Lepisosteus oculatus: one gene and its partners. The protein of the gene in region 2 interacts with the protein of the main gene of each other region in a pairwise test. Links are inferred from orthologs where the notes say so. Each region holds a gene or a part of one and is shown on either strand. Other genes may lie near its edges.

The links. The genes of interacting proteins can lie anywhere in the genome.
Region 1: the proteins of lsm3 (region 2) and clns1a interact in binary tests that used the Homo sapiens proteins (3 or more experiments, as listed by UniProt). The link is inferred for Lepisosteus oculatus from reciprocal best matches to the Homo sapiens genes LSM3 and CLNS1A.
Region 3: the proteins of lsm3 (region 2) and U7 snRNA-associated Sm-like protein LSm10 interact in binary tests that used the Homo sapiens proteins (3 or more experiments, as listed by UniProt). The link is inferred for Lepisosteus oculatus from reciprocal best matches to the Homo sapiens genes LSM3 and LSM10.

The regions. Positions count from the first base shown.
Region 1 is NC_090700.1:9,905,408-9,915,909, reverse strand, and holds the start of clns1a (methylosome subunit pICln), read right to left. Parts: upstream 4,475-10,502; 5' UTR 4,134-4,474; coding exon 4,015-4,133; intron 3,472-4,014; coding exon 3,335-3,471; intron 1,508-3,334; coding exon 1,382-1,507; intron 856-1,381; coding exon 745-855; intron 1-744. UniProt on the Homo sapiens protein: Involved in both the assembly of spliceosomal snRNPs and the methylation of Sm proteins.
Region 2 is NC_090699.1:59,413,033-59,424,169, forward strand, and holds lsm3 (U6 snRNA-associated Sm-like protein LSm3), read right to left. Parts: upstream 4,123-11,137; 5' UTR 4,066-4,122; coding exon 4,045-4,065; intron 3,577-4,044; coding exon 3,466-3,576; intron 3,088-3,465; coding exon 2,992-3,087; intron 757-2,991; coding exon 676-756; 3' UTR 437-675; downstream 1-436. Other genes in the region: gamma-glutamyl hydrolase, read left to right, coding at 6,447-6,549, 8,057-8,171, 8,972-9,022, 9,153-9,237, 10,315-10,453, 11,018-11,124. UniProt on the Homo sapiens protein: Plays a role in pre-mRNA splicing as component of the U4/U6-U5 tri-snRNP complex that is involved in spliceosome assembly, and as component of the precatalytic spliceosome (spliceosome B complex).
Region 3 is NC_090706.1:4,891,121-4,900,687, forward strand, and holds U7 snRNA-associated Sm-like protein LSm10, read right to left. Parts: upstream 3,853-9,567; 5' UTR 3,672-3,852; intron 3,600-3,671; exon of another isoform or gene 3,579-3,599; intron 2,957-3,578; 5' UTR 2,951-2,956; coding exon 2,579-2,950; 3' UTR 1,975-2,578; downstream 1-1,974. Other genes in the region: oscp1b (protein OSCP1), read right to left, coding at 5,853-5,972, 6,471-6,534, 6,786-6,925, 8,540-8,609, 8,837-8,965, 9,289-9,392. UniProt on the Homo sapiens protein: Appears to function in the U7 snRNP complex that is involved in histone 3'-end processing. Increases U7 snRNA levels but not histone 3'-end pre-mRNA processing activity, when overexpressed. Required for cell cycle progression from G1 to S phases.

The DNA of each region.
Region 1 (10,502 bases), on a different chromosome or scaffold from region 2:
CAACCTGTACCTATTTGCTTGTACATCGCATTACATTACTCATTGTGGAGACTAGTGAGCAGGAAGTGCCGCATCACATCGTAATTCGTGGGAACTCGGATGCGAGTTTGCAGCCACAGGCCACTTGCAGTAGTTTCACAGAAGTTCGCAATTTGGTGCTCAATTCAAAATTTGTACAATTTTTCGTCCATTTATTTTGTTAATTAGATTGAATAACCGGTCTGAGAAATTGGGACTGCAGTTCCCCGTTATAAAACCCCCCAAAATTTTTAAAACCTACAAACAAATGCAAATCAAACAAACATTGCCGCTGACTCATCAAGGGCTGGTTTAAGAAGAATGGGAAAACTCCCGATTTCAAATATGGAATCTGAGGTGTGGAATTTATAACATAACATCACTTTATTAGCCCTATACAATTATTAGGAAGTTTTCTTTTCGCATACCCCAGCTTGCTCTCCGTGAGACACAGACACACAGACAGGGAGAGAAGCCTGGGGTCAGAGCGCAGGGTCAGCTATTGTACAGCACCCCTGGAGCAGCTGGGGTTAAGGGCCTTGCTCAGGGGCCCAACGGAGTAGGATTCCTCTGATAGCTGCAGGATTTGAACCGGCAACCTTCCAGCCACCGGCGCAGATCCTTAGCCACAGAGCCACCGCACCCCAGTCTAAAAAATGACAGCCATTCACTTTAAAATTGAAACAAGGTTTTACAGGAGTTTGTCCTCCAGGCCCTATAACTCACCAGCTTCCTCCACATCGTATTCCTCTCCTTCAAACTCATCATCGGAGTCAGAGTCCTCAGGGTCAGGGTGCAGTGCCTGGCACTCACACATGGCAGAGAACATGGGCTCCACTGCAACACAGAGAATAGGCTTCGCTCTCAGGGTGTCTTCCACAATCTTGCCAGGATTCTCTTTCAGGACCGTTCCAGAACCCTATTCATGCAGTTTCCCACAGGCCTCTACAAACGCATCACCACCTCTAGTTTCAACCTTCTGACTATTTTCCTCAGCATTTTTTTCCCTACCACCTTAGTCTTCAGTGTAAATATTAGCTTTTCAGCATATATATTAGCTTTTCTCATCTTTGTTAAAGCATCCTACCCTGTACACCTTTCACCCTGTTTACTCAATCGTAAATCCTTCAAAAACTCCTTCCATAGTCTAACAGTTACATGGTATTTGCCGTTTACTGTAAACTAAAGTTATAAAGCACACCAGCTGGGACTATACACAAATTAATCTGCTCAGGGAAAAACACAAAAACTTTTTACCCCCCAAAAAACAAATTACAAACACTGACAACTACGTAGGCTATCATACGTACTGACAGGTTGAGCACCCGGCACAGCACAGAAGGGAAGATTTTTCCAAACTCACACGCCATCTTATCACTGGGAACAAATCGGATTTCTGTGATGGGGTCCGAGTCGTCATCGCTCTCATCGTCCTCATCCTCTCCTTCAGCTGCTTTCTCCTCCATCTGAGATTCTGTCACCTCTTCATCTAGAAAGGGATGAGAAAATCAAGCCAGGGCCATGCTTCCTCTACAGAGAGAGAGCCAAAGGGGTCTAATTGTACTTGCTGGCTTGCACTGCGCAGAGAGCCTAGAGCATGATCATTTTGGTCCGTCTGTCCTTCCAAATGGTTCAGGTAAAATTAAAACTTGGTTTAAGGAGTGCCGTTCTCCAGTGCCTGGAAAGGGAAGCGTCACTTTAAGAACTTTCACAGAACAGTACCGCAGGCAAGCCTCTCAGACTACTGGGACTCTTGTTTCTGGGAGACCGGCTTTGCACAGCTCAGATTCCACCACCATAGATGCACAGCTAACAGGCCAAACAAGCAAAAAAGAAACAAACTTCCTGGCCCGTGATCCAGTATAATTCATGTTAACTTCAATGGGTTTGACCAAGTGAACACCAACATGGCAGAGATGGCATTAAGCCAAAAGTGGGGGCTGGGGCTGGATTTAGATGAAAGGCACTGTTACTGTAGCTTGTAAAAGGCTCATGTAGCAGGCTTTAGAGAGAGCCCTTGCCAGTCTGTGCCCCTCAGTGGAAGGTATGTACAAGGCCTTATGATTTATGGCACTGCTTCGCTGTTCACTGAGGTAACATCCTGCTGATTGTTGCTAGTAGGTACCCAAAGATAGTGCAAAGTCAATGTGAAGCTTTTGTAAGTTCTTTATATTTGAATACAAAGAAGTCCTGCTTTCATTTAAATAAACTAAGAGTGAAATAATATCCAGTCAAAAAGAGAAAAGCGAAGTTTCTTCAGATTTCCTAGTGGTAATCTCCTGTATCCTTGTGGAAGTAACCAGACTAGGCATTTGCTAGTTCCTAAACAAATCTTTTCCAGCTACACCAAAATAAACATCGGCACTTTATGGCAGCAAACACAAAGTACAATACCAGCTGTCTAAAATGTAGCATCACATTCATTTTAATTTTATGTTATAGCTGGGTGCTACTTATCTGTGCTCAGCAGCTTCCAGGCTTATTTAAATGTCTTTCTGCAGTGGGGACTGGCAGGAGTCCCTGGGAGTAACAATGCGCTTTTATTTCAGCAGAGGGCTATAGAACGGGGTGGAAATCTGTGCGGGGCTGTTCAAGACAGCTTGAGACTGTACGACCCTAAGGGAAGAAAGAACGGTCTCTTTGCTTCTCTCATGCTTGGAACACCAGGAGAATAACTCTACAGCAGAGTGCAAGGCAGCATTGACGAGCACAGAATAATAAACGCAGCCGCCCAAGCCACCCACTGCTGTATTGCGATGCCTCCACAGCTCCACATATCTACCTGCGATATGGCCATCAAGGCTGGACTCGCCTGCATATTCAAAAGCCTGTTCAGTCAATAATCAGCATTTGAGGTGGCATGAAAGACCACAACTCTTTTCCTTTACTGCACAGGGTTTATTCCCCGATCTTCCCTTCAAACCGTTTTCAGGTAGTTACAAAAAAGAGTGCCATGCTGGTGCCAATTTAGTTCAGCCGCAATGAATGCACGAGTATGTTATCCAGAACCGAACAGGCACACTTTAGCCCTTCATGTGCTTGCTGGGCAGGACAAGGCTGTACTGTATTTTTTTTACACTATGTAGAATATTGATGGGCCTGGAGAAATAGGTTTATTGAATCCAATGTATTCTCAAGAGGGAGCGTTTTTCCTCCTCATAACTGTTCAAATCGGAGCAAATCACTAAACTACTTTATTCCAGCCCCCAACTTCAACTGTAATCCTTACGATTGCCAGTCGATCGTCCCTTTCTAAAGATTTTTTTTCTTAGTGTCAGCTGTCCCGTCATCATTCATCAACAGCACGCCGCCTCACCGCTCAGCTTGGCGTTGACCATGACGTACAGATGCTCCTGGGGATAGGCGCTGAGATCGCGGGAGATGGCGTGGAGGCTGATGGAGGGGTATTCCAGAGAGAAGCCCTTTCCCGACACGTCAAACCACGACAGGCGGCTGTCACAAAACACACGAAAAGAAAGACGGTGGCGGATTAGGTGGGTGCACACGCGAGTCACTCCCTACACCCCCAACGTCTCAATCGCGCCAACTGCATAGGAGTAGTCCGAAATCACAGGCAAAACCACGATGACGCGATCTTTGTCTGCGGACTCGCAAATGTTGTTTTTTTTTTCCAGAAAGACTCCGGAGAAAGTTTTTTTGGCATCTGCTGATGATGCATTTTTACTGCTGGCACAATCGGAGAGGACGATCGTACAAAACGACGCATCGGAAAGAGTTGGGGGTTTTCCTTCTGGCGAGGGGTGCTTGGCCATCACAGGTGTAGCGCGCTGTCACGTGTTTGACATCGCACACCGGGCAGTGTCGCCTTTCCCCCTCAGATACCTGTTGATCATCTGGAGAAGCAGGGTGAGATGAGGCAAGAACTTTTTTTCCCACCCTAAACAGGTTTCTCTTTCGCTTTTTACACACATCAAAGGGGCAGGCGAAAAAGAGTTTTCAGTTGACCAGTCCTAACCCGTGTGATAGCGCACTTACTTTTCTGCAACGTAGAGGGTGCCAGAGCCCAGCCCCTTGCCATCCAGCACTGCCGTCGTTTCAGCCTGCTGGTGCCTGACGCCTTCACTGGGAGGGGAGACGTTTTTCAGCAAAACCATCGTCTTAAGGAAAAGTGCCGCGCCTGACCCCCCGTTAAAAAACAACGACACAGAAACAGCCCCGCAGATCGCCGAGAAAAGCCGGCCTAAACCGCAAACGACAGCGAGAAATCCGATCAAGCAGAGGGCAAAAAAAAAATAAAAATAAAAACTGCGATTCAGTTTTCACTCGCACGGCTGTATTTATAACGAAAGGCTGGAGCAAAAGGGTACAGTCCTGGTCTGTTTGTTTCTCCGTAAAAGTCGCCTCACTCCCGCAGTCGCTCAGTGGAAAACAAACCCCATGCTTCTCTAGGCTGCTTCTCTTCCTCTGAAGCTATCCCCCGCCAAACATATGGGCAAGCTTGCCCTGAAGTCAAAGACGTGAGCACAGCGCCAAAGAACGGTACGATTATTTAATAGCGCCATCTACAGGACTGGAGTTTAGTTGCACAATTGAAGACCTTAGCCATCTTCATCGTTACTGATAACAATGATGGTTGATTAATATCAAGTATTGGAGCATTGGTGATACAGACATATCTTGAACATGTATTTCTTACATCTTTTTAGATCTCTCCTCAAAGTGATTAACACGAATTTGGTATTGCCTAAACTGTTTATAAAAAATAAAACCAAGGTGAGTCTGAAAGCAGTAGATCGCAGTTGATTAAGTGTATTTCATAGTCATCTTCACGGATGTGACGGCTTATGTGCAGGTTAGACTTCAGATAACAGCTCTGCTAACACACAATTTGTAGGAAACTGCGATTTGGGTACAGAGCCCATTGTCGCAAAGATGACAACTGGTTAAGGCTAAAGGTTCTTAGGTTAATTAACTTTTGTGTGCTTTAGAGGTCATAATAAAGATACATTTAGAACACGAAGCTCAGTGACTGGTGGAGATTAAGTCACAATTTTATTATTAAATTCCATTTATATAAATAAGCACGGTGCTGTAGTTCATATGATCTTTCTAGATTTCTAAACGAGAGTGCAGAACTCTGGTTAAATTGCTTTTTAAAACGCAATTGCACCAAACACTGCCGCTATATCATGGTGATACTCTCTTTGTATCATGGTGGTATGTTTACGAACTGTATGTTTACCACCGCCCCAAAATTGTTTTAACAAGGAAATTGTGACAGAATCGAGTACAACATTACCTTGTTTTTAAAAATCTTGGTGATGACAGAATGATGAAAGGGTACCAGTTGTAGAAATTGCTATTGCTGTATGAATGGATTATCGCAAAAAAAAACCGTAATAACAAAATACCGCAAAAATTGAATACTTGGGGATTTTGAATCAGCTTTGTAAACAGACATACTGTAGGTTTGAGCTCACCAGAGTGATTTATTTTTTAAGAGATCGTATATTTCCCACAGACGTAAAATTCAATAAACATCGCTACCCGAAACAGATTGAAGTCTAGATTTAATACTTCTCTTATGACATCCACCGGGTTTGTAACGGTAAAGTAATTGGATGTGAATCTTCCGATGTTGACTTCCTACACAATGGAAAATATATAATAAAGCAATTGGCAGAGGCAGATACAGTACGCCTTTGTATTTTCGATTTCATCATTATAAAGCTGCTGTTTTCATACTTTGTGAACTTGATTCTACCGTCCTCGATTCCAAGCGTTACTTAAATGACACATAAAGCTACTTTAAAATGTCTTTTTAATGCTCGAAAAGAAGTGGCTGAAAACGCTTATAGCATCTATTGTTAACAGCAAAGACACTGCCCTCTGATTTTACTATCTGGCAGTAAAATTCACATACACATTCATTGAAGATACTTAAAGTGCAGAACCAGTACAGTCTTATAATAATAATAATTGCTTACACTTATGTAGCGCTTTTCTGGACACTCCACTCAAAGCACTTTACAGGTAATGGGGACTCCCCTCCACCACCACCAATGTGCAGCATCCACCTGGATGATGCGACGGCAGCCATAGTGTGCCAGAACACTCACCACACATCAGCTATCAGTGAGGATGAGAGCAGAGTAATGTAGCCAATTCATAGATGGGGATTATTAGGAGGCCATGATTAGTAAGGGCCAATGGGAAATTTGGCCAGGTTGTTACACCCCTACACTTTTCGAGAAACACCCTGGGATTTTTTAATGACCAGAGAGTCAGGACCTTGGTTTTACGTCTCATCCGAAAGACGGCACCTGTTTACAGTATAGTGTCCCCATCACTACACTGGGGCATTAGGACCCACATGGACCACAGGGTGATCGCCCCCTGCTGGCCCCACTAACACCTCTTCCAGCAGAAACCTTAGTTTTTCCCAGGTGGTCTCCTATCCAGGTACTGACCAGGCTCACACCTGCTGAGCTTCAGTGGGTTGCCAATTGTGAGTTGCAGGGTGATATGGCTGCTGGCTTAAGACAAAAATAAAAACCTACACTGGGAATTTTGCTGTAATATAGGAAACTAGTTAAGGCAGACAGGATGAAGCTTTTTATGACAAATTTACAAGTTTTATTTATACGAAAGAAATTACAGCAGGTTTAACAAAACGCTCTGAAAGAAAACAAAGAAAAAATGTTACACAGACTAAGGCCTGGAGCTAACATCTACGGCCAATGGCCTAGCTTATACACAAATATTTGACCAGACTGTAGTGAGACAACACTAAACACTTAAAAATATTGGCACTGATTTTCCATTATTTTATTTAGACCAACAATAATTGTGGAATTAAAGCAACAGAAGACCTATTTAAAATCTTGAGAGCACACAACATGGACTCAATTTAAAGTATCAAAAACAGTATGTTGGAGAAACTGCATGTACATCTTTCTCACTCCTGATAATTCAGTATTTTCTCAAATATTTTTCTCCAGCAGAAGGCAAGTCCCTTGCAAAAGGCTTTGATGGACATGAGAATGCAAAGCCTAAATATGACCGGGCACTATGTTCAAATGCTAAAACGAGGGTAAACAAATTAATTCAGGTAGGTAGCTGCGTCAGCATGCGTAGGCTGCAAAGGAAAAAGTAATAGGTTTATTCCATGCTGAAAAAAAGAAGAAAGAAAACTTCAAGAAGGTTCTACGGCCGAAAAGTTGTTTTCTTTCTTCTTTTTTTCAGCATGGAATAAACCTATTACTTGTTCCTAAACAAATTAATGGTAAGGTTGAGATATTTTAAAAAAAAATCAATTTTCCTTTTATTACTAACAAAATGTATAGTAAGCGCAAGACATACTATATAGTTTACAAAATATCTCTTGGTAAATTGCTGTAGTTACTCAGAAAACATGTAACAAGCACACTACTTAAGATCATTTTTGTCTAAGCAGTCGCTTTTGTCTTCAGTCACTTGGAACATGTCTCGTACATCTGTCAAAACACAAAATGATACATCCCAGACATACAACAGAGTATGTTTAATCTTTGCACTCAGATATTCTTCATCACTACAAATTCTGTGTAACTTGGTTTAGTATTATCTACACAGTTCGGTACCAAGAAATGAGATGTTGCTGGATACAAGTTAGGGAAAAGGGTGCAGGTCTGTGGGTTTAAACTCGAACCCTCAAGCAAAAAGACTACTACTGTCTGCAGGATGAAATCAAACACCATGCTGAAACTTTTTACATTACAAAAGTTGTGCAAAATATCACAACCCGCTACAAAAAATTATAAACAGTAGCAATTGTAAAGAATTGCTTTATATACCTTTTCATTATAAAAAAAGCTTCTAAATATGTTACAGCATAAACTACAAATATACACACAATTAAGAGATAGATATCTTTTTTTTTCTTTTCTCAAAGAAAAAGGGTTATGCCATTTTTGAGACTGTACACTTAAACTGAATGAAGTCTGCAGGGTATCAGGGTGATGAGTGCATCTTGGGCCCCCTCCAGGTATTCAATCACGCTAACTATGGTTTCAAAGCTACCCAGCGTCCCACCCGCGACAGGGCTGACGTCTGCCAAGTTTAAGAACCAGGTCACCTGCCACTGGAGTTCCAAGAGGGTGGCATCGCCTTCTGTAACAGGCTGAGGAACACCGAGACCTTTTGCATCAGAACTCCTTTAAAATGAGAACTCAACCGAGACAAGAAGGGTGCTCCATTTACTTAAGGGATCATAATTTCTAAAGAAACCACGGGTAACAGGCAACGTAACGAAAAATGTTTACAGCACATCTGAAGCCGAAATTGATACTGCACGGCACTGCTCTTACTCTAGGCAAGACCAGTGACAGGAGAAGGTGGGTGTGTGACCCTGTTTCAGAAATGTTCCAACATACAATTGGAATTGATACAATAATTGAAAATATTTAGTATAACAAGACTGTTGCAATATAAACAAAAAAAAAAACAAATCTGCATTGATGGGAAATAAAATCCAGCCACCTTAAAATAATACACTTCTTCAGTACCACCTAAAACCAAGAATGGAAAGTCTTTGACAAAGACTACTTGTAATATTGTTTTCTACGAGTTCTGCCAAGGCACCTGCTAATGGTACAAGACCATTTTCAGTGTTGTGAATTGGAAGTTGATCCCTCTTAACCACTCCATCACATCTGAAATCTAAATGGCTAAAGTAGGCCACAAAACGTTTTGCGAAAAGCGCAAGATTTCAAATCCAACATCTGGGGGCTACAAAGGGGCAAGTGGTGAAAAAAATCTTTCGGCTCCTCCTCTAAAACAATGTGTCGTTTCAATATGAAATATTTATCTGGCCAGAACAGTGGAGCAGGATTTGGCTGCTGCTGCTCACTGCAGAAAGGTGTGTAGTACTTTTCTAGAAGTTTGCAGGAATGCCCAATGACCAGAATTTTGAACACCGAGAAGTGTCTGAAGTGATTGTGGTTTTTCTCTAGTACCAGTCAAAGCTGGGATTCATGCCACTGAGAAAAACTATGATAATACACTTCTTTATGCTTTAGGAAATCAATGTGAGCTTCTATAGCTCCTTGACTAGTGGCAGCAAACTGTGCTTCAAACTAACACAGAAACATTATGAGATATTTTCTCCTGCAAGATGGAGAAATATCTTGAGAATGCCATGTCATTGCTATTGGTCCATTCTCTGTACTTTAGAATAAGGAAAAGTGAAACTCCCCATCATATACATCGAAGTACCTACATTATGTCAGGTAAGTATTGTCAATGAACTGATGAAACTGGTATCTCAACAGAGGATTGTCAGACAATGAAAAATTAAATATATATATATGATAAAGAACAAAAGCATGGTTAAATAAAAGAAACAGTGTGAACAAATAGGAAGTATATTACAGGGAAGGGGTGTTAGACAATAAGCAAGTTCCAAAATAATATCGCAAATGTCTAAGAAAACAGCTTAATGACAGTTTTTTAAAAGCAAAAAAACAGTAGTGATTTCTCAAAACACATTTTATGGCTAAATCTAATCCAGAGCACTTTTTATGCTTATGGATTTCATTAACAATTACCAAGATGCACTGAAGATTTAAAATGCATAAAAAGAAAGCAATATTGCAAGACGAAGGTAAATGTTTAGGGACAATTCAACATGTACATATAGTTCAAGGGAGATCTAACTTGATACCCAAGTGTGTAAAACAAAAATAGTTTTCATCATTACATTTTTTAGCATACATGTATTTTATTCCAAATGCAATTAATGTGGATTCTCAAAGATGTCCCTTACTTGTCTAAAAGTTTGGCATTTTAAGCATTAAAATAAACTGCCTTGGCTGATACTGTAAAAATGCACAAAAGTAATTAGGACTGTACTGATATAAGAAGGGAATAAACAAGGTAATTAATAAATTCAGACTTCTTCAAAAAGATAAAAAATCAAAAATAAAACAAAACTAAACCTCTTGAGAAGGTAAACATACTCACAGATAATGGACACTACAGTGAATAAAAACTAGTTTTTAATATAAATTTGTTCTGGGCCATGAGAAAACTTATTCAAGTGCCTTGGTGCTAAGATGTACAGCCTTGATCAGAGGATTGTTGCCTATAACCTTCTAAAAATCTTCCTTGCTTTCCAAAGTTTTTAACTGAGATTCTTAAAAGCATGCTCAATTCTCACTGAGTCACAAACAGAAATTTTAACAATGTCAGCTATTTCAAGAAATAACCCAACAGTTAAAAAAATATCAGATCATAGGCAGAAATTCACCTCAATAGTCAACAATAGTTGTAATAAATTATTTTTAAAAGGCCTATCTAAAACACAAAACGTGTGGGGAAGAAGTTTTGCATTTCAAAGATCACAAATTACAAAAATATGATAACATTGCTTCTTTAAAAAAAATGGAGGCTCTTTTTGGAAAAGAGACTGGAATACAGTACATGTATACGAGATAGCTATTAAACTAGCTAGTTAAAAGTAGTGAAGCGAATACCTTATGATG
Region 2 (11,137 bases):
TGATTTATACATTTAGACTGCAATTGCATTTATAAATTGGTATCAGATTCAGAGATTTTCTGAAACAAAACCAGTTCCATATACTCTGTACATTTTTAAACAACCTTTAAAGAAAGAAGATGCATGAGATTTTGCATATTTACGTGTTCTCATCCAAGGAAACATCATTACAATTATTCATTTGTTTCACTCCCAATCGTAGCCCTGCATTTTGGTCAAACCAAAAAACTGTACACCAATGGCAACTGACAAGGTTCTACACCCATTGATGCACAGATATGAAATAAAACAACAATTTAAAAATACAGAGGCACACAAAATTGACCTAGAAAATCTATATGTATTTTCTCTGAGGATATGCACAATTTCCTTCCATGTGACCTCAAAAAGCAAGTGGTTACCACACCATCAAATGTCACTGAATAAACCACACAAATTATTTTCTTTTTTTAATGAGAAAAAAAAATCTTTACAGATTCTAGTTACAATACAAAAAATGCAAATTTCTTAAGCTAGCAAGAAGGTATTTTACATCAAAACTGACGAGCTGGACTAAGTCTCCTTTTTAACTTAGATTTCTTTATAAAATTACGTAACTCCATTGGTAAACAGTCCAAATCAAAAATCTCTCTTATGTTGCATCTTAAGTGCATTCTCCTTCAGAACTCATGGAGTCTAACCAACTCTGAGTGGAGGAGCAACCAAAACTACACCATCTCCCCGAACAAACAGCATTGGGATGTTCCTCTTTGTGGACTGGAATGAAAAAAGACAATCTTTTAACAACATGACTAAACTTGCAATGTGCATGTGAATCTATTACATGTAATATTGGAAATAGTTTCAAAAAAGTAAATAAAGTAAATCATGCAACCATTATTATTTAGAGCTACAATTATTAAGAGCTTATTTAACCCATTAGAAAGAGCCACACCACTTTAAGCATTACTTTTGGAATTTTAACTTTGACGAATACTATGGCTCCTTGCATTAAACCAGAGTTTGATGCAAAAAAAAATAAAAAAAAGTTTTAGCTAAGGTTATGACTATTGATAGATTACAGCCTTAATTTATGACCAAGGCTACATACAAGACAGTGAGGAGGATATTGGAAAGTAGTACTCTGGACAAATGTAGCAAAGCAAGAATACGCTTAGATAGTTTGGAATAAGCTCCTCAGAGTACATTTTCTTAATGATACATTATTAAGGCAGACTACACAGTAGCATAACATTGTCTCAATGAAAGTACAAAATGCTCAAGATATTTATTGAGAGGAAAGGAAATAAAAAGCATGAAGCAAAGGTTTCCAAACAGCTTTCAGTAGCTAAAACGTTGATGTCTATGCTTAGCATTTTAGATTTTTTCATATTCTCAGCTATTTTTCCTTAATGTATAATTTTGTTCACATGAATTTCCAGTTACGACAGAAGCAATTTTATTAGATTGCATGCAATCTAATTCAGTAAACAATTACCAGTAAACATTAAATATCAATCCAAAATGGATTAATCGGCTCAATAGTCCTAAAACTCCAGTTCTTTTGTAATGTCAGGTTGTCTGTTGGTGTTATGCATATTTTGTATGTGAAGTCAAGGTGCTTTCCAATGACATTACAAGTTCTTATCTTCAAATAAATGAGAACATTAATAGTAGCAAAACCTCAAATTAAAATCACTTCTGCTGGTACCCAATACATTAAGCAGAACCAGAAGAACTACATGAACCAGAAGGACCACAGGGATTAACAAAATACTGTTTTCCTTGGACCTGGAAACAACAACAGTTGATTTGCTGGTTGCATTATCTAATTTGGTTATTAACTAACTGACACCCAAGGAATTGTAATTTGGCATAAAGTGCATAATGACCACATTTTTAATGTTACTTACGTAACATGAAAATGCCTGAATTATTTTTTCTGAATGAACCAATTGTTGCATAATGACATTTTCTTTTCACACAACTTGCAATATTTTTATTTTATAGTTTTTATCAATTGAACCTAACAGGACTGCAGAAATTTGAATCCGATTATAATTTCAGGGCAGATATGCAAAATGTATGCTTGCTATTTTCTCTACACACCCTGCACCTCAAACAAGTCATCAACACACATTAAACGTGTTTAGACTCTAAGACAAACATTTACTTGAGAAAGAGACATGAGCAGGCACTCGACAGAAGCAGACAGTAGATGGTGCCTCTGTTTTTTGAGGAAAAGGAAGACACTTTATATTTGAGAAGATACTTAAACACAAAATCAGCAGATCAAAGTTTCTGCTAGAATAATGGGGATATTATATATATAATGGGTTCATCTGGGGATATTATCACCCGGTAAAAAAACTATCTTACATTGTTTCTTTTATGTGTTGAAAAATAGTGGTTAGTAAAATCTTTAACGTTCTTAACGGTCTCATACCTTCCAACTGGTATTATTGATTCTTTCAAACTAATTGGGAATCACTTATTCATTTTTTGGTACTGAATGCACATTCTCACAAGGAAAGTTGAATGTTAAGGTGCAATCTGACAAATCTAAACAGAGAACTGTACACGTATGATGTAGCCTACACCAATCCGAATAACTAAACCACTAATTACACGTTTTCACTCTAATGTGTAGTGGGACATGTGGCACAAAAAATGTCAAGAAAACATATTTTGTAGACTATACCAATATTCAGTGAGATGGTCCAATCATTTAAAAAAAAGGTAAGAAGCAGTAATTAAAGAAAAAGGCAGCACAGGCAAACCAGAGTAGTCAGAGAGAAATAAAAAAAGAAGAGATTGATAAGGGAAACTTCTTTAAGCTTCACCATTTCTAACTGGGATGTCAGAAAACGCAAGAAGATGTTTCTCCAACTGTGAGGATTACATTCCTGTCACTTGGGTTCGGTACAGTCAGAGCGAAAACTGAAGATTTGATTTTGTGGCAAAAAGGGGGAAGATATTAATAGTTTATTTAAAGAATTAAAAAAAACTCACTTTGTAAATTTCTTCATAAGTTTCTTCGTCAATTTCTACCGTGGTTACTGTTTCTTCAACATCTCCCAGTATCATGTTTAAATGCTGATCATATGCCTGAAAGAAATCAATATAGAACATTTTCAATTCTATTTTAAATATGACATAACCTTAGTACTGAGTTCTTCAGAACAATTCCTAAGTCTTCTACATAGAGTTACCTTTGATTCTGCTAAGTGGTAAAAACACTAACTAATCTTAATTACAAAACATGAAAAGCTGCTGATTCTAGTAATCAAACAACTTAATAATTTATCTGTCTAAAGCAATGGTCAATTCTAAAGCATGGAATCAAATGTACTATCACAATGGAATTAAAGTCTTAGAAAACAAATCATTCACGTAATTGTCAATATAGCCACTAACATCTTTTAGATTGCACTATAACCGCTATTCCCCGTTTACTGGCCTTAAAACGGAGATGGTGTTACTCACGTGTAGCCTTCCTCTTAGCTCTCTGTCATTGCGCATTTTCACATAGATACGCTCATCAAGACTAAGCCTGATGAGATCCAAAGGCTCCTCAACAGTGTTGGCAGTCTGTTGCTGAAACAGGAAAACAAAAACTCGGTACAGTGCACTGTCCAGATAAACCTAAGGTTTAAATTGTGTAAACTGGAGCCTCTAACTAAAGCCATACAAATTACATTAGTATCTGTTTTTTTAATTTTAAAAGGATTCAGTAATCTAATATGACGTCTGTGTTGATTTACAAGAACATTGTATTTAGTCACTTCTGCATATAAAGATACAGAAAGCCAAAAGCTATATAATATGCATCCCATATCACCACTTATTATTTCAGAAAAAAACACCTAGCTAATTCAATTCATTTTTACCGCTCCTGCAATGTTTTGGCTATTATCCAGATTACCGACTCTCATCACCACATAGACGTGAATTCTGGTTTTGCGGAAAGCCAAAATCACATTACAAAACACTCTCTGATCACAAGCAAGACATATAAACAGGAATTTCAAAAATATATAGTAAAGTAAAAAAAAAAATCCCAACCTGGTCCACCTCATCCGCCATCTTTCAAATTTCCCAGAATTCCTTGTGAGCGTGCGTTTTATCGCGAGAACCTCTTATTGACATGTGTAGAGACACGATCAGTTGTTTTAATAAGTGTAGTGAAAGAGGCGAGTAAGATCGGGGCTAACGAAGCTGAAATAAAGACGAAAAAGCACTTAAACATTTTTGTTCCGTTTTTTAAATGATGCCAAAGACCAAGATGGTGGTGTTGTATTTCACCAGTTGGGATTATAATTGTTACGTTTTCCAGATGCTGATACAGTTCAAGGGATGTTTTCTTTTTGTATTTAAGGATTATATGGCATTGTTTGTAAGAATGTACACGTGGGGTGGTCTCCGTTTACTAAAAATGTAATTCAGTGTTACTAAATGTTACCTTCCTAAGATTTTCTCTCTGTTTAATAAATGGTGAAATATTCTCTTCTTTTCCCACCTTTACTGCAGTGCAATGATAGGTTTGCTAACACAGACTGGTCCCTTGTAACTAACATTGAACAAAAAGCAAGGAATAACTAACTTCACACAGGTACTCAAAGATAAGATAAATATTTTAGAAAAAAGTTTCAAACAGATACTAAATCTCTTTTTTTTTACTGGGAATTTACTGTATATCTAGTGTTTCACAGTTTTATTTTACAACAAAATATTCCCCTTTCAGCAGTAATTTCATCTTTATTAATTACCAGTATAACATAACTCTAGGTGTGCGATGCATTATTAACACACTTTTTAAATATTGTAATTTTGATTATTTCAAAGTATAAACTGTACATTGCCAGTCTTTTGAAAAGAATCTTATAAGAACTTCTCATTCAACACCTGGTAAAAACAGAAGCATTGCCAAGTTCATATTGTACATATTGTACATTATCAACTGGTAGTCTGCTGAATTTAAATACAAGGTAAATTAGCTCCGTTGACAGTGATCAGTACAAGCTGTAAATTTTGCTTCAGGGATTTATGAAAAAAACACAACCACTGAGATGTTTAGTGAAAAGCAGCTTGCACTATTTTGTGATTTAAACATATTTTTTAACTGGGAAGCACAATGTGGACCTTTAAAATTTTACAGGGGTGTCATGCATGTGTTAAAAAATAAACTCTTCTGAATTTACTACTGACCAAACAGACTTACATTTATTACTTGGAGAGTTGTAGAACTGTGGCATTTCTAATTGTCAGTTAAAGGTTGTGACTATATGGCCCATAAATATCCAGTGTTACTGTTTGTAGGAGTAGTGATGTCCACGCCAATGACCTTGCTAAATATGCTTTGGGCTTGCACAATCTAGTTTACCTATATTTCCCCCTTATTTCAGTCAGATATGTAGTGGAGTTGTTGGTGTGTTACTGCTATTACACATGACCAAGGTAAGGCAGTCTGATAGGACCACAGAAGAGCCATGGAGTGTCTATGTAAAGTATGTACTAAGCATCAAAATAAACTTTATTTTCTGAAAATAAACTATATGGACTTTAACTATGATGTGTCTGTTCAATAAAATGTCAGTACGCATGCTACAAAAAAGTAATTTCCCTCTGTCCATTTGTTACAGTTATAATTGGTTTCTTTTGGCAGTCAATATACATAATAGACATAGTTGCCTTTATGATATACACATAAACACAATTTATCTACAACACCATGATATATAATTGCATGACATTATCAAGGAATGAAACGGCATAGTAGCCTATATACAATAAATATTCTCATATGACTGTCACTCCAATCAGATACAACTATGGTAGGCCAGGTTCAGTACTACACTGTACCAAAAGATAATGAGTTTGCAGAATCCAGAAGGAAGTGGAAAGTCGAAGGCAGATATTGTATAAAATCATCTAGGGAAGGCCATCATCTAGCAATGAAAGAAGTGGTCTCATCTGTGGACTTCCAGCAATGTTGGCCTAAGGGACAAATAAACTTAGATAGAAGGTGGCATTTGTTTGATATAACAAAGAAGGAAAATAAACCCAAATACTGTATGCAACTCATTCACAAATAACAATTTCAGTCTATACCACTTATGTTCCTTGTATGAAGGCTGGCAAGATTAGTCCACACAAGACTGCCGACTCCTCCCGTCAGACAACTTTTTAGTGAAACGAAAAAGAAAAAAAATGACAATGAAGACAACACATCAGGTTGCCTCTTAACGGGTTAATACAGTAATGGGACATAACGGGTTAAGTTTTACTTTGAAATAGCAGATGACAGCGTGCTGAGCATTTTGCAGCAGCTATAGACGGTAGCGCAGTGAGGTCGTTCGGTTTTGTCGTTCAATATCATACGCATATACTGTATATCAGGCCTAATTTAATTAGGGGCTTCAGTTGTTTATTTGTTTTTTTTAAAGACTCTCAGTTCAGAAATTATCATGTGCTCTTCGGCTATTGTTCTTTCGGTGATGGTCGGTGTCATCTGTTATCTCCCGATTCCAGCGTTTTCTAGCCTTTCTCCAAATTACAGACCCATCATTGGTAAGGTGACATCACTCAGGCTACTATTTTGCTAAACGTTTTTTTTTTGAGTGTTTTAAAAATTCTCAAAGGTTATTTTTGTAAGGGAGCCAACGATTGTCCACACCTTTTATTCATTTAAATGCGCAGGTGTATACAGTAATTGGAGCTCATCTATAATTGTAGAAAATGTATGTATTTTACCGCCAGTGTAATTTCAAGTCGTTATGTAATACCATGCGTGAAGTATTTGTCTGATAAAAGGTTGGGATGTTAAGATTTTATATTTTACACTTGCATGTATTTTTGTCTTATCATAGAATTTCGGATTTATATATCAGATACGCGTGGGAAGATTTGTTCTGGTATTTGGAAACATTTTTAATTATTGTGACATGTTGAAAATGGCACGTTATTTTCGGCAAACTGAAGAAGGGATTCTTAGTGAAACGTTCAAATAAAAAATAGCTGTTAGAATTAAACGAAAAAGTGTTAAATCCCAGGGTAGACTCTACGACGTTGTTTTGAACATTATATCAGAGAAATATGCATTTTCCAACATAAAGAAGTTTCTTTATTTTCGATCACCAGAGACATTCCTGTGCTCAGGGAGATTTCAATAGGTCCAAAGTGACTGAGCTAATAAACAATTTAATTGAAGCTGAGATTTTTACATTGTAGAGAAGTTTGTCTTATTCTGCTTTATTGGATAGAAGTTGCTTGAATTACCACGTTACCTACTGTACCTTACGCTGGAGAATCCAATATCAGAACTTTCAAGAATATGCAATAGTCATAAACCATGTTCCCTTCTACTTGTTTATAATTATAGTTTTGATTATATGATTTTCTCATATATTTTTAGAACTGCTGAGTGCCTCTCTTATTTGGTATAAATTAATAATAGGATGAATACAGGTTCTTGGAGGGTTTCTGGATTCCTAGACAAAGGTGCTTGGAAAGGGTTCAGCTGTCAGCAGAATTCAGGAGTGCAATTGAAAATTCAGTTACCTGAACTGAGATGGACTGCCTACAGATAGCAAATTTTGAAACCTTTTAGATGAGTTAGAAATGGACATCAACACTATGATACATAGTAAGAACTGAAATTATGGAGCTTTCTTTACAGAAGCTTCCACATATAAGTATTAATATGAATATACTAACAGCTTCCTACTCAAACCTGTACTTTACATTTTATGTACAGTATATATAGTCTACATTCATGGCATTGTGAGGTACAGTACTGTTCAATCACCAATTCATGATAAAAATACATAGCTACATGTATTACAGAAACATATTACCGTACTTAATATTTATTCCCGATGACGTTGCAATGCTAAAGGCTTTTCATGTAATGTTTATGACATATTGTTCTGTCCTGGGGAGAAGTAGAGCTACATGATCAAAATTCTAGTGACAACACAGGCATCCGAGCCTTTCAGACAATCTGGCAACACGGATACTTCTTACTCCTTCAATTGTTTTGAGTCAGCTTTTCAGACGTTTTTTTTTTCTTCTACAGGGATCGTAGCCCAAGAAAATCTTCCCAGTGACCCTCACGCACAGGGTTCATCTTACATTGCTGCTTCATATGTGAAATATCTGGAGGCCGCTGGAGCCAGGGTTGTGCCACTCAGGTAAGATCTTTCCACTCAGGAGTGTAGAGCAGACAGGAAAGAAAAAAAAAAGCACCAGTTGCTCTGTTTCCTGGGAAATTGCAGGCGTATTCATGCAACATTAACTGTACTAAATCAACATAACCTTTGTTCGTTCTTGTCTTGTTTTCTGAAACTGTATAGTTAAGTAATTACAGGCTCTGTTAAATACCTGCGTGGTAGTTGTACAGTACATTCTGATTCCATCAGAGTAGTTTAATGACTACAGACAATGTCCGTGTTGGACTGTTTTATTTCAGCGGCCCAAAACAACTTAGTTTGGTGGAGAACCTCTTTTTCTGTCAAGAACAAACTAATTCTGAATGAATAAATGTCTGTGGGTACCATCCATTCTCACAATAGTATAGTGTATATCACAATAAGTGTAAATGCCTAAAATCCACTTTCATAATGCTTTTTGTGCCATTCCAAATTTATGGCTACATAAAGGATAAGGACACAAACTTAGATGTCACCAAATTAAAAGGTTAAAACATGAAATTAAATCATGAGTATTAAAGATTTCCATGATTCCTAACAATTACAATTTGTTCTTGAGAGAAGGAAACAGAGAAGCATTTGAACATTTGAATATTAACATAGGTAAGGTTTTTAAGGCAGAACTGAGCATGACTAGGAAACCATGTTAAAATGTATGCTGAGATTTGATTTGGGACTAAAGATGATGACATTCAGAACAGATGTAAGATGTGCAAAAGTAAGAAAAGACAAAGCTTGTTTAAATCTTGTAATGCTTTTACATTGTCATTGTCATTTCACAGAATAAACCGCACAAAGGAAGAATACACCAAGTTATTCTATTCTATAAATGGGTATGTTTTTTAATATTTATTTCATATGTTTGTTTTTTTTTCACATTTGAAGATGGCCATTTCTATCTGTTAAAATATATACACATCATAAGAACTGTGTGAAGTGCAAGTGTACTCTCCATTATTGTAGATTACTGCTTCCCGGTGGAGATGTGGATCTTGAAAACTCCCAGTTTGGCAGAGTATCCAGAATATTCTATGACTTGGCAATAAAGGTATGTTCAATTTCCAGCTAAATGGATAATGAGTATGACAGTATGATAGTAGTATTTTATAAAAAGAGCAACCAGAAAACAAATCTGGGTCTTAACAGAATATATAACAAATGATACGAAGTGAATCTTACTAGTCACTCATAAGAAGAGATTAAAGTGGTGAACAATATAGATTATGTATTGCTCAGTCATAAAGTAAAAGCCAAGATTTAGGACTTTGAACAGGGGGGATGACTTTGTATGAAAATGTATCAGTGTCAAATAAGCTGCAGATCCACACTGTCAAAGCTGACCCCTAGGACCCTTCAACAAATGGCTGAATGAGATCCTCCAGCCCGTACATTACAGGCAACTAAACAGATGGACAGTTGATCATGATTTGAATTGATCTTAGGTAATTTATCAAGTACAGTACGTAACATATTTAATACTTAGATTTAAGATGCTGTTTTATCTTTTTATCCCTTGCAATCCAACCATTTTTCTAGGATGGGCAGAAAACTAAACCTTTGTTCATCACTATTTTTGTAAAAAAAAGCTTCAGAGGGGTGAAATGAAGTGAGGATGTTAATTAAGGTATATGCAAATCAAGGCTGCAACAGCATGAGAGAAGAAAAAAGCCCTGGCATTAGAAACTTTTTACAGCCGCTGGGATTCTGTGGAGTGAGTCCTGAACAATACAGAACTTTGTTTTTGGTACACAGGCACGTAGTATGTTGACATGATGTATGCTTTTTTAATTTGTAATTCGCCCTGCTTAAATCCAGTATGTACTACACGTCATACCTATATGTTTTGGACAAGGGACTAGTGTTCAACTAAGGAAATAATTGTTCAATCAGTCAAATAAAAGTTGAATATGTGTATAATGTGACAGAAACATCCCATGGCCTCGTAGACATCCTTGTGTAAGAAGGCAGAACGTGGGTGTGGCACATCATGTAGACAGTGACAGTGAGAAACAAAAGGGTTTATGCAAAGATAAAGAAAGGGAGACATTCACTCCTCTCGTACCGAAGAAATCCCAAGAAAAGCCAGGCTGATGTGCATTTTTACATTTCCTGGGGTGTTTTCTAGGCAAATGATGCATCAGATTATTTTCCCATCTGGGGAACCTGTCAAGGATTCCAGGAGATGACCGTTCTCACCAGTGGCAAAAATCTCCTGACTCTCACTGACACCAAGGCCATAGCTCTGCCTCTGACCTTCACTTCAGGTGAGAACTCATATTGATATCCTTCCTTTGATTCTTCATACAGAGGATAACTCATCCCTCTTGCATTCATTATTTGCAGACCCATGGAAAAATAGTCACGGCTTGGTAAAATTCTTGTTTTGTCATTCACTTGACAGTATTAAAGGACAGTGTTCATTTAAGAACACTCACATAAAAAAATGTTGGCAGAACATGGGGGCATAACTGAAGACTCTTATTATATAATTGTGCAACCTTCAAATGGACTTACATTTTAAAACTACAGTATGGACCAGAACCTATTCGGTATAATGAGTGCACGAAACATTTGCTTACTATTTGCTTTCTCATTTTACTATCATCCCCCAACCATCATTACTCCTCATAATATTTTAAAAATGCAAAACTCAGCTTTGAGATGTGTTCAGTTTCATTGTAAGAGACGCTGTGGGATTACTTCAGTGTCAGTCAAAGTGAAAAAGAGAAATGAGAACTCGGCGGCTCCCAACAAGTCTCCAGTTTATTTTTTGTCATGCTTGTTCAGATTTAACATATATTTTAGCTCTTCATTGTTTCTTTGTTCAGTGGGTCCAAACAGCAGACTGTTCAAGAGCTTTCCAAAAGACCTGCTTCACGCACTCACCACAGAGAACATCACTTCCAACTTCCACAAATGGAGCCTCACTCTGCAGGTATTGGATGTCC
Region 3 (9,567 bases), on a different chromosome or scaffold from region 2:
ACTGTCTGAAATCCAGTCCAAAAGATGGCAGCCAGTTACTGTATATCATGTTTTATAGCTCAAGGCTTTATTGTTTTTGTTGTTTATTGCTCTTAGTCAGTGACAAGGTGCGCTATCATTTGTTTACATGACTCAGTAGTTGAGATCCGGACTGTGCGCTTCCTGGAAAAAAAAGAGGTTTACGTCCATGTGTACAATGTACTTTGGTGCTTTGCCATTCTGGAAACCACAGCGATACGAGACACTCATGTTTGCACTGGAAGGCATGCATAAACAAGGGGTCAAACGGTCTGATAGAAACTGAGCAATGGTGAATAATTGTTTAGATGTTATGTTCTGTACACTATATCTCTATAGCTGCCTGAGTTTGAACACCAAAGACAATAAGAGTTAGCAAGAGAGCTTCCAAAGTACGCAACCTACAGAACGTTCAACATCCTGCTACTTTTTTGGTGTCCTGCCTCCCTGAAATTGCTGCAGTAATGTTACCTACTGTCCAAAATTAATATTTAGAAGGCTCGCATTAGATGTATTTGTGAGGTACATGATGTATTTGTAAGGTTTTCAAACTTTTTAAAGTGATGACCCCCTAATGATGACCCTCCTAATGTAAAGTATAATGTTGGGTACTAAGAAAGGAGAGACATCCTAGTTCTCTTCTACAACTTGTAGAACTGTAAAAATAAAAATGTTAAAACAACTTTGATAACTGTAATTTAATCTTTAAAACTAACAAAATGGCAACTCACCTGAACACAATACTTGAAAACATTGTCTTACAGTATCTTCCAGGATGATATAATTTTAGGGTGTACATCCCTGAAGCAGAAATGATCATTCTTCACTTAAATTAAAAATGAACATATGGTATTAACCTAAAATCCATGGTGTTTTACTTTTTATCTCTCAATTTACAGTAAATTTAAGACCACTCACTTAATCAGGAATCTTTACTCTCTGTGCGTGCACATTGCTACGATTATGAAACAGACAAACGTGGAAAAAGAAGCAGATTGTTTAAGTCTCTGCTATTTCGTCAACAGGATCATAGCATATCGTATTTGTCTGCTTTAATGCTTCCTGTTGATAAGCACTAAAATGTGTGCAGAGTTGTCGCTACCATTGCACAACTTTGTATGTATTCCAAACAGCCGTGCAGATCAGATGAGGACTGCTTTGGCTGTCCTTAAACATTGCACAGAAAGTGGCTCGGGTCACAGCTCATTCACCTCCGGTATTTTCCATGTGTGGAACTCCTGAGATTCCTCCGACTCTTAAAAAGAAGCTGGTCTTTTTGAATGAGCTTTGATTTGACAAAAGTGTGCCACACTCACAGGTTCAAATCTCTGTACTGTACTCTCATACACACTGGCATCATCAGTGTTCCAAATAAGTTCCAAAAGTAAAAATATCAAATTTTACACAGCAGGATATTTATAATAAATACAATTTATAAGAAATACAAACAATTCATATGTGATACATTTGTGCAAGGCTTTAGATATTCTGACATTTCAATGCATTTCTTCTTGGTAGAAATGAGTTTATATGTTATACATCTGTATATTTTTTTATGATGATACTGCATTATCACCCTTTTTACTGGAAGTACTAAAAGCCTAACCTAGTTAGCAGTGGGTGTCTATCAGACGCCCACAACATCTCTGATCGATTTGGGGGTTTTGGTATTGCTACACAGAACCAAAGACACTGTACCTAATGAGCCATTTAAGCAGCCTGAGTTTCAGGGTGTGGGAGGGGAAAGACAGTGTAGGAGTAGGACAAGATGACAAACTCAATCACCGGATCTGAAAAGCAAGTGAGCTTTATCAAAGCAAGAAAGTGTTTACCTCACTACAGCTTTGACTGCATCTGAAACCCAGCTTATCTCCTCCCTTCAGAAACACAGCAAGGTGTTGTTTCCTTCCTTATTTTAAATTAAGCCGTTTTTTTGTGATATAAAATAAAACCAAGAAAAGAAGAAGATTTTTTATTAAATCAAATGTCATCAATTCCGAGGGAGGATTAATTCCAAAGTAGGCAAACCCTGCAAAAAGCTGTAATTTTCACACAGTTTCTGGGTCTTCAAAACACACTTTCGTAATCTTTTTGTGCAAAAAAGGCAGACATTTCCTTGCTGATTTTTACCCACAACATCCAACTTTTTATATAGTTTTATTGCAAGAAACGTCTCCTAAAAATGCATTAAAAAATCAAGCGTTTACTTTCAGCGTTTACTTTCCGGATTTCATATGAAAATAGTTTGGTGTTTTATTTACAGAATTCGAAACATATCCTTGACACCCTACATAGCCCTTCTTAAAAGGCAGTCTGCCGCACGTTGTCGTCAACCTCGGTCACGGCGTTTAAAAACAAGGACAAGATCATTTGTACAGCAGTGCATGGCCTCCAAATCCAAAACCACAATAGCTTCTGTCACGGTTTATAAAGAAAATCACATTTCATACAGATATTTTAACACATGACCAGGAAATCCCAGCAGCCTCGACAGGGTAGTTTCACCTGTTGAGCGTTTGCCAGGCAAAACGAGTGTGTTGCGAGACTCGGTCGCGGCCCGTCACGTTTGAGTCTTCTTCAGGTACTCCTTTCTCCCTCCCCGGTCCCCACCGAAGTTCCTGACCCGGTGGATTTTCTCCAGCTGCTGCTCGATAGTCTTCATGATGTTCACTTCGTCCGGCAGGTGGACGTACCGGACATTCCGCCCCGTGACGAAGAAGTCGTCCAGCCGCCGCAGGCCGCCCCGTCGGTCCTTGTACACGACCTCCTCCAGGCGGACGTTCATGAACGCGTCCACGTTGACCACGCGGCCCCGGACCACGCTCTCGTCCCGGAGGTCCACCGTGGTGACGCAGCCGTGCAGCCCCTGCAGCAGGACCACCAGGCTGTTCTCGGCGATGGTGCGCTCCCTGATCGAATGGGACACCGCCATCGTGCTCTGTACGAACGAGTGACAGGTTTTTTTTTTAAAGGAGGGCAGAAGTATCCCCCCCCCACCCCCGGAGAATCCTAAAGAAACGCAGTTTAAACTGTACCAATAAAGTGATGTGCGTGCTGCATATTAAATGTCTCTACTGGTAGTAAGCCAGGAGCAAACTAGTTCAGGAGATCACTTGAGTCAAAGGTTCTTTAAAACACCATGCTTACAATTTGAATGCACAGGAACAGGTTTTTTTTTTTACCTTAGTAGCTTGTATGGCTTTATTCCATGCTGAAAAGAAGAGAGACGCAACGTTTCGGGCTGTGGAGTCTTCTTCTTTTCAGCGTGGAATAAACCTTTACCTGTTCCCTTTGCAGCCTGCGCATGCTACTCGAACGTCTTAAAATTTGAATATCGGGACGCGGGTTTTGGTTATCATTGACAGACAAAAAAACCCAAACACATGCACGTTTTCATTTTTAAAACGTAAAAATATGCTTTGCAAAATGCCTTGAAACATTCACGAGGTCGCGGAAATGATTGCTTGACCTAGTTCAGTAAGTTTACTTCAACAGTCTAATCATCTCGGTTATATAGTATTTGCAGTTCTATTTTCAAACTAGTTTCACTACTGCATTACGTCGTTCTCGAAGTCGCCCTGCGCCAATTAACCAAGCGAATCATAAAATCTGCCCACAAGGAAATTATACAATTAAAACCCAAACTTATTTACCTTGCATGTGTCTTTCTAGCACACTGATGATGTCAAAGAAGGCTCCTTCATTAGACGTCACGCCTCTGAAAAAAGATTTATGCAGTCATACCCCCCTCTAGCGGTGGTTTACTGCAAATACTTTGGAGTTTGTGCTGAAAAGTGGATTGCTTGTCACCTGTTATGCTGAAAACAGCATCTGTTTAGGATCCTAAGCCAATTCGAAAACAGAACATTAAGTCATGAATGTATGTTTATTGAACATCTCGATATAACTTAACAAAAAATAACTCACTGTACTAATCACAGTAGAGTCATTGAAATAAACATAAATAGCAATTGCACAGGTAATAAATGATTGTTTAGTTAAGCAGATTTACTTACCTTCTTTAAAACAAGATTCAAACAGAACATAGGTATTCTCAGGGCCTCATCAAAAAACAGAAAAAAAAACGTTTTTCCCTATAAAAATCATTTGATCATCAGAAGGATACACTGATGTTTTCACTGTGTTATGAAAGTCTAAAAATAAAAGTCTACAAGACACATTAAAATGTTTAGAATGCCTTATATCTTCTATTTCTTATATCTGAGCAACAGTCCAAGATTTGCTCATTGTAGTAGTCACATTCCACTTGTTTATTTTCTAGCTCCAAGATGTATACTTAACTTTAAAATCTTAAAAATCCAGTGTTAGATACGATTAAATCATTTTGGACCCATTCCTTTGGATGATAAAGACAAGTGCTTGTGTTCTTTGCTGAGTTCCCCTTTTCTACAACACATTCACTGAAATAACAAAACCTATAGACATGAAAACAAGAGAGTATACATACAGAGGCATCTTTACACAGACTTCTTAAATCTTGCCAGGAATCTTAGAAATACTATCTCATCAAGTAGAAAAAATAAAGTTCCTATGAAGCAATAGTATTTCTGTTCACAACAAAAAATAACAACATATATATAATGTTTCGGCCGTGAAGCCTTCTTCAGGTGTCAGGTATATATATTCCCTTTGCAAAATAAATCTCTTTACATCAGTGATATGAAATTTTCACAATGTAATATCATACCCACTGAATATACAATATAGCTATTCACTTGCTTCAATGTCTTCTTTCCAGCCACCACAGTGACTGAGACAAGTACTTTACAGGTTAAACAGCTGACCTGACATTAAAATAATAGGGTCCCACCAAAAAGAATTACCCATTACTGGCATGATCTACTGAGTAATGCCCTCACTAGAAATTTCATGATTGCTCATCCGTGTAAAAAAAAAAAAAAGACAAAAAGACTGTTATGAAGAAGATACTTTAAAATCACAACAGACCCAACTAAAACAAGCAGGTCTCGGCAGCAGATGGAAAAGAAGGCAAAGTTTTATTAAACTGTACAGATGGATTCAGCCTGCAACAAAGTTGAGACGGCACAGTGTCTTACAAAGTTCTAAATACAGTATCTACATTTGTAATTACTTACATTCATATGTGTTCGCCAGTAGGAAAAGGCTTATAATGGAGTTAATTTTACGGAATAACAAGTTCCATAGTTTCTATTTTCTATTGGTTTTATTACATATGTTGCTACTTATTGTTTTATAGCTCATGAAAACTTTCCTGACCCTGACGTGAACCACAGCAGTTGGATATACAGCTGCACGACATGCTGATTCGTTTTCAATGTTCACCAAAACCAGTCAAAAGGGCTCATGGACTGGCTTTCCCGGGTCTCGTTAGTCAGAATACTCTGATCTACGCTACTGAGTGAAACCATTTTAAATAAACAAAAGACTTGACAATCTAAACTGAAACTGGCACGCTCCTACGTCTCTCACCGTGTGAATCGGAGTCTTCCCCAAAGTGAACTGATTTATCCAATCAGGGAACATCTCAACCCCTTCCTGGAAACCACACCGAGAGGGGCTGAATATTTGTTTCAAGTGGCTCATGGTTGCTGGGTTTCATCTTACAACTCCTGCACACTACTCTTTCTCCCCCCGTCACCTTTCCCACGAGAGTACAAAAAAAATCCTATTATGAAAATGACGAACAAAACGCCCTTATACTCGTAGTCTGAATGACTTCTTCACATTTTTGGTACCAGGCTAGCAGCAAGTCATGTCTGCACAGTGAAAATAAAAGTTTGGTGATTGCAAGATCCCTCTAGTCTTCCTGTCCCAGCAGCCTCCGGGAAATGTCACAGGCCATCCATCATGGCCAGCAGGTTGTCCCCCTTGCTGCCCGGGCTCTGGGCCGGTCCTGGCTCTTCCGCGAACTCCCCCATGATACGAGCCAGCTCTGCGTTCGCATGCTGGTCCTGACATTGACAGACATCGTCACCGACAGGGAACCACAGCACAATCACAGAACAAGAAGGCTGATTAATCTTGATTAACTTTGTTTTTCTTTAGCTCAGAACATGAAACATCAAGAACATTTGCAGCCTTAATTCTATGGAATTACCATACTGCAGGAAGTCTCTCTCCAAAACCAATTCATAATTGGTCTCCCTGTGGTCTTTTACTTCTAGATTACTTGTTTTTGGGTATGAAATGTAATACAATAAAAACTGCTAATTTTTGACTCCTTTGATTTTTTAGTTAACTACATTAATAGTACCCATTTTACAACAGAATTTGCTTAACCAGTGTTTTCCAGATTCACTCTCCCCATGCTTGTCTTAGGGCAAAGCGTTGGCCTTATGTTTGGATAAGAAAGTAGTATAGTTTTGACTCCAGTTCTAACTTCTGTTCAATTTGCATGTTGTTAAAAAATTTAAAAAGCCAACTTGAAGTGTAATAAATGCTATTCTTACCTTTGTAGCTTGTATGTTTATAACCTGGTATGAAAGTTCTGGAGGCCTTGATATCAAAGCTTCCCTGTGAAAAAGTAAAATAGTAAAAACAGAGTGGTTTCATAAGACATATAAATTCAACACACATTTCTCACAATCCAACACACATCAGTTACAAAATATAAACAAAATACTAACTTGCACCTTCATCTATACAAAATGAGTTTCTATCTCAAGACATCTCAAAGTTTTGTTTTAGTTTTTAATGTAAATGTGAAGGAATTAATATATTTGGGTGATCGGGGATTATAAAAACAGAAAAATCAGAAAACATACTCTTCTTCCTCGTCTGTTGTGAACAAGTTGACCCGAAACCCTCCATCAGTATTTGCAGGCTTCTTGACTTCCAGACCTCCCATTAATCTGGCCAGCAGGTTCAGCTCTTCTTTTGCAAGAGGATTAGGGGCAGCATTTTCCTGGGGGATCAAACGTTTTAGTTTCAGAAACAGAGATATTCCCAACAACAGGCAGTTCACCTTTCATTTGGAGTTTCACTTTTTTAATTTGTACTCTATCTTACTGACGAGCTCCGGAATTACTTTAAAGCAGCCATATCACCCTGCAACCGATAACTCACTGAAACTAAGCAGGTGTGAGTCTAGAAGGGAGACTCCCTGGAGAAAAACTAAGGTTGCTGCTGGAAGTGGTGTCAGTGGGACCAGTAGGGGGCGCTCCTAATGCCCCAGTATAGTGTTGGGGACACTATATTGTAAAAAGGCCTCGTCCTTCGACTTAAATCCAAGGTCCTGACTCTCTGTGGCCACTAAAAATCCCAGGGTGTTTCTCGAAAAGAGTAGGGCTGTTACCCAGAACCCCAGCGTCCTGGCTAAATTTCCGATTGGCCTTTACCATCAGTACGCCTCTCCCCCAATCAGCACTAATTCTCTTGCTAGGCTTGGTGGAGCTTGTACAGCCTGTAGCATGTCAAAAGAATGTCAGTGATAGGTTTTTTAAAACAAAATAACTAATAGTGGAGTTTCGGAGACACAGGCCGCAGACTCACAGCCCACTCAGTATTGATGGAACCACCAGCTTTAGGTTTTTGGGAATTCACATTTCTAATGATCTAACCTGGACTGTGAACATGGACATTATCTTGAAGAAAGGCTCAGCAGCACTTCTATTTTCTGAGGTGCCTCAAGCGATGGGGGATGCCACTACCTGTGTTGGTGAACTTCTACCGCTGCACCATCAAGAGCATCCTCATTAATGGGATCACCGTGTGGTACAGCAACACCTCTTCTCTCGAGAGAAAAGCACTGCAGAGAACAGTGAATGTGGCCCAGAAGATCACCGGCCGTGGTCTCACAGAGATTAAACAGCACTATGAGGACCGCTGCTATGGTAGAATTCTGGCCATCACAGAGGCCAGTCACCACCCCGGACATGAGCTCTTCACCCCACTGCCCTCAGTCAAGAGATATAAGAGCATATGGACACTTACCACCAGATTCCTCAAAAGCCCACAAGCAGCGCGACTGGCGAACACATTTGGCCATGCCCTTCGGACCACACCTACACCATCTACCTCATTGTAATTTTATTTATTGCACATCTGCAGTCATTGTTTACATTTGAACTGTTTACTTGTCGACTTGTACAGTGTCTACTTTTTGTTTGTATATTGCCTTGATGCACTTTTTTTTAACAATCGAGAGACTTTCTGTAAGTAAGAATTCCATTGTACCAGTACTGGCAATAAGGCTCAAGTTCAAGTGTTGAAGGTGTACATCTGCAGATCATCAGGGCAATTCTGTAGATACAGATAGCCACAATCTGAATTTCAAGCAATTGCCAATTCCAGATTACGAAAAGGATCGACACTTGACAAGTTTATTTCCATTGATTTGATAATGTCTGGGCATTTCCAAGAATAAATTTGCAAAAAATTAAGTTTGGAAAGAGCATGTCAGCCATTCCACAGTTAGAAGTACTTTCTGTTTCTGTTAGGACACCCTCTGAATTAACATTTGCTGGAAATACATTGGAAAAAGACATCAGGTCCGGACCTGTGTGCTCTGTCATCTCACCTTGGTGTGCGACACAGAGCTTTTGGATGTTCCTGACATGTGTGTTTCCACAGGGCGGCTTACACTATACCTGTAATACAAGATGCAGCATAAACATTTTCAAAACCACTAGCAAGTAACATCATGTTACACTGCGGGCTGGAATGAAACATCAATCATCCAAAGGCAATCAGGCACTTCATTTCTTCTAGCTGTATCTGTAAATGAGCCTGGTGTGTCAAGGCTCATTTTTATTACATCCCTGTTTAATTATTACTGAGTTTTAATTTGAGTAGTAAATGTAGTAATGATACTTACATGTTGGTGCCCAGTTTAATTACTCTTTCACCATAAAGGTCAAAAGATCCTTCCCGCAGAGGACTTGTATAATTTCCTCCGCTAGGGAACTCTAAGCTTTTCACTTCTTCACCACTGCCATTGAATATTCTAAGAAAGAAATCACAAAAACAAACCTCGCACTTAGACTATTACTAATCTTAATGATAAAAAAGTGTGTTGTAAGTCAAAACAAACACTTTAATTAACCGCAAAGAATACTGTCTAATCCAATCAGGAAAACAAAGTCTACAAACACAAAGATAAATTATGTAGCTCAAAGATTTTCAAAACTATTATACAGTATATAACAGAGGAATATCAATTAATCCTTAGCCATTAATCCTTCAGATATTCACATGGTTTAAGATCTTCATTTAGAACATTAAGGAGTAACGTAACCTACTGCAGGGTATTGTCAATGAATACACTACCTGATGAGCCCTGGAAGTTCAGTTCCCCAAGGAACAGGCCCAGATGTAGGCAGCACAAACCGGCCATTGGAATTCTGTACTTTGTCTTTTAAAAAAATGGACACCTGCAGACATAAAAAAATTCAGCATATTTTTTTGTTTGTTTGCACTTACTAACAGAGCGCACATTTCTTTGGTGTGGATGTACTGGATATAATAATTTAATTGGTTACCAAGATCCCCATTAAGTCAGGTGTGAAAGCTGGGCTACTAACCTTCAGTTGAACAAAGACTTTGCAT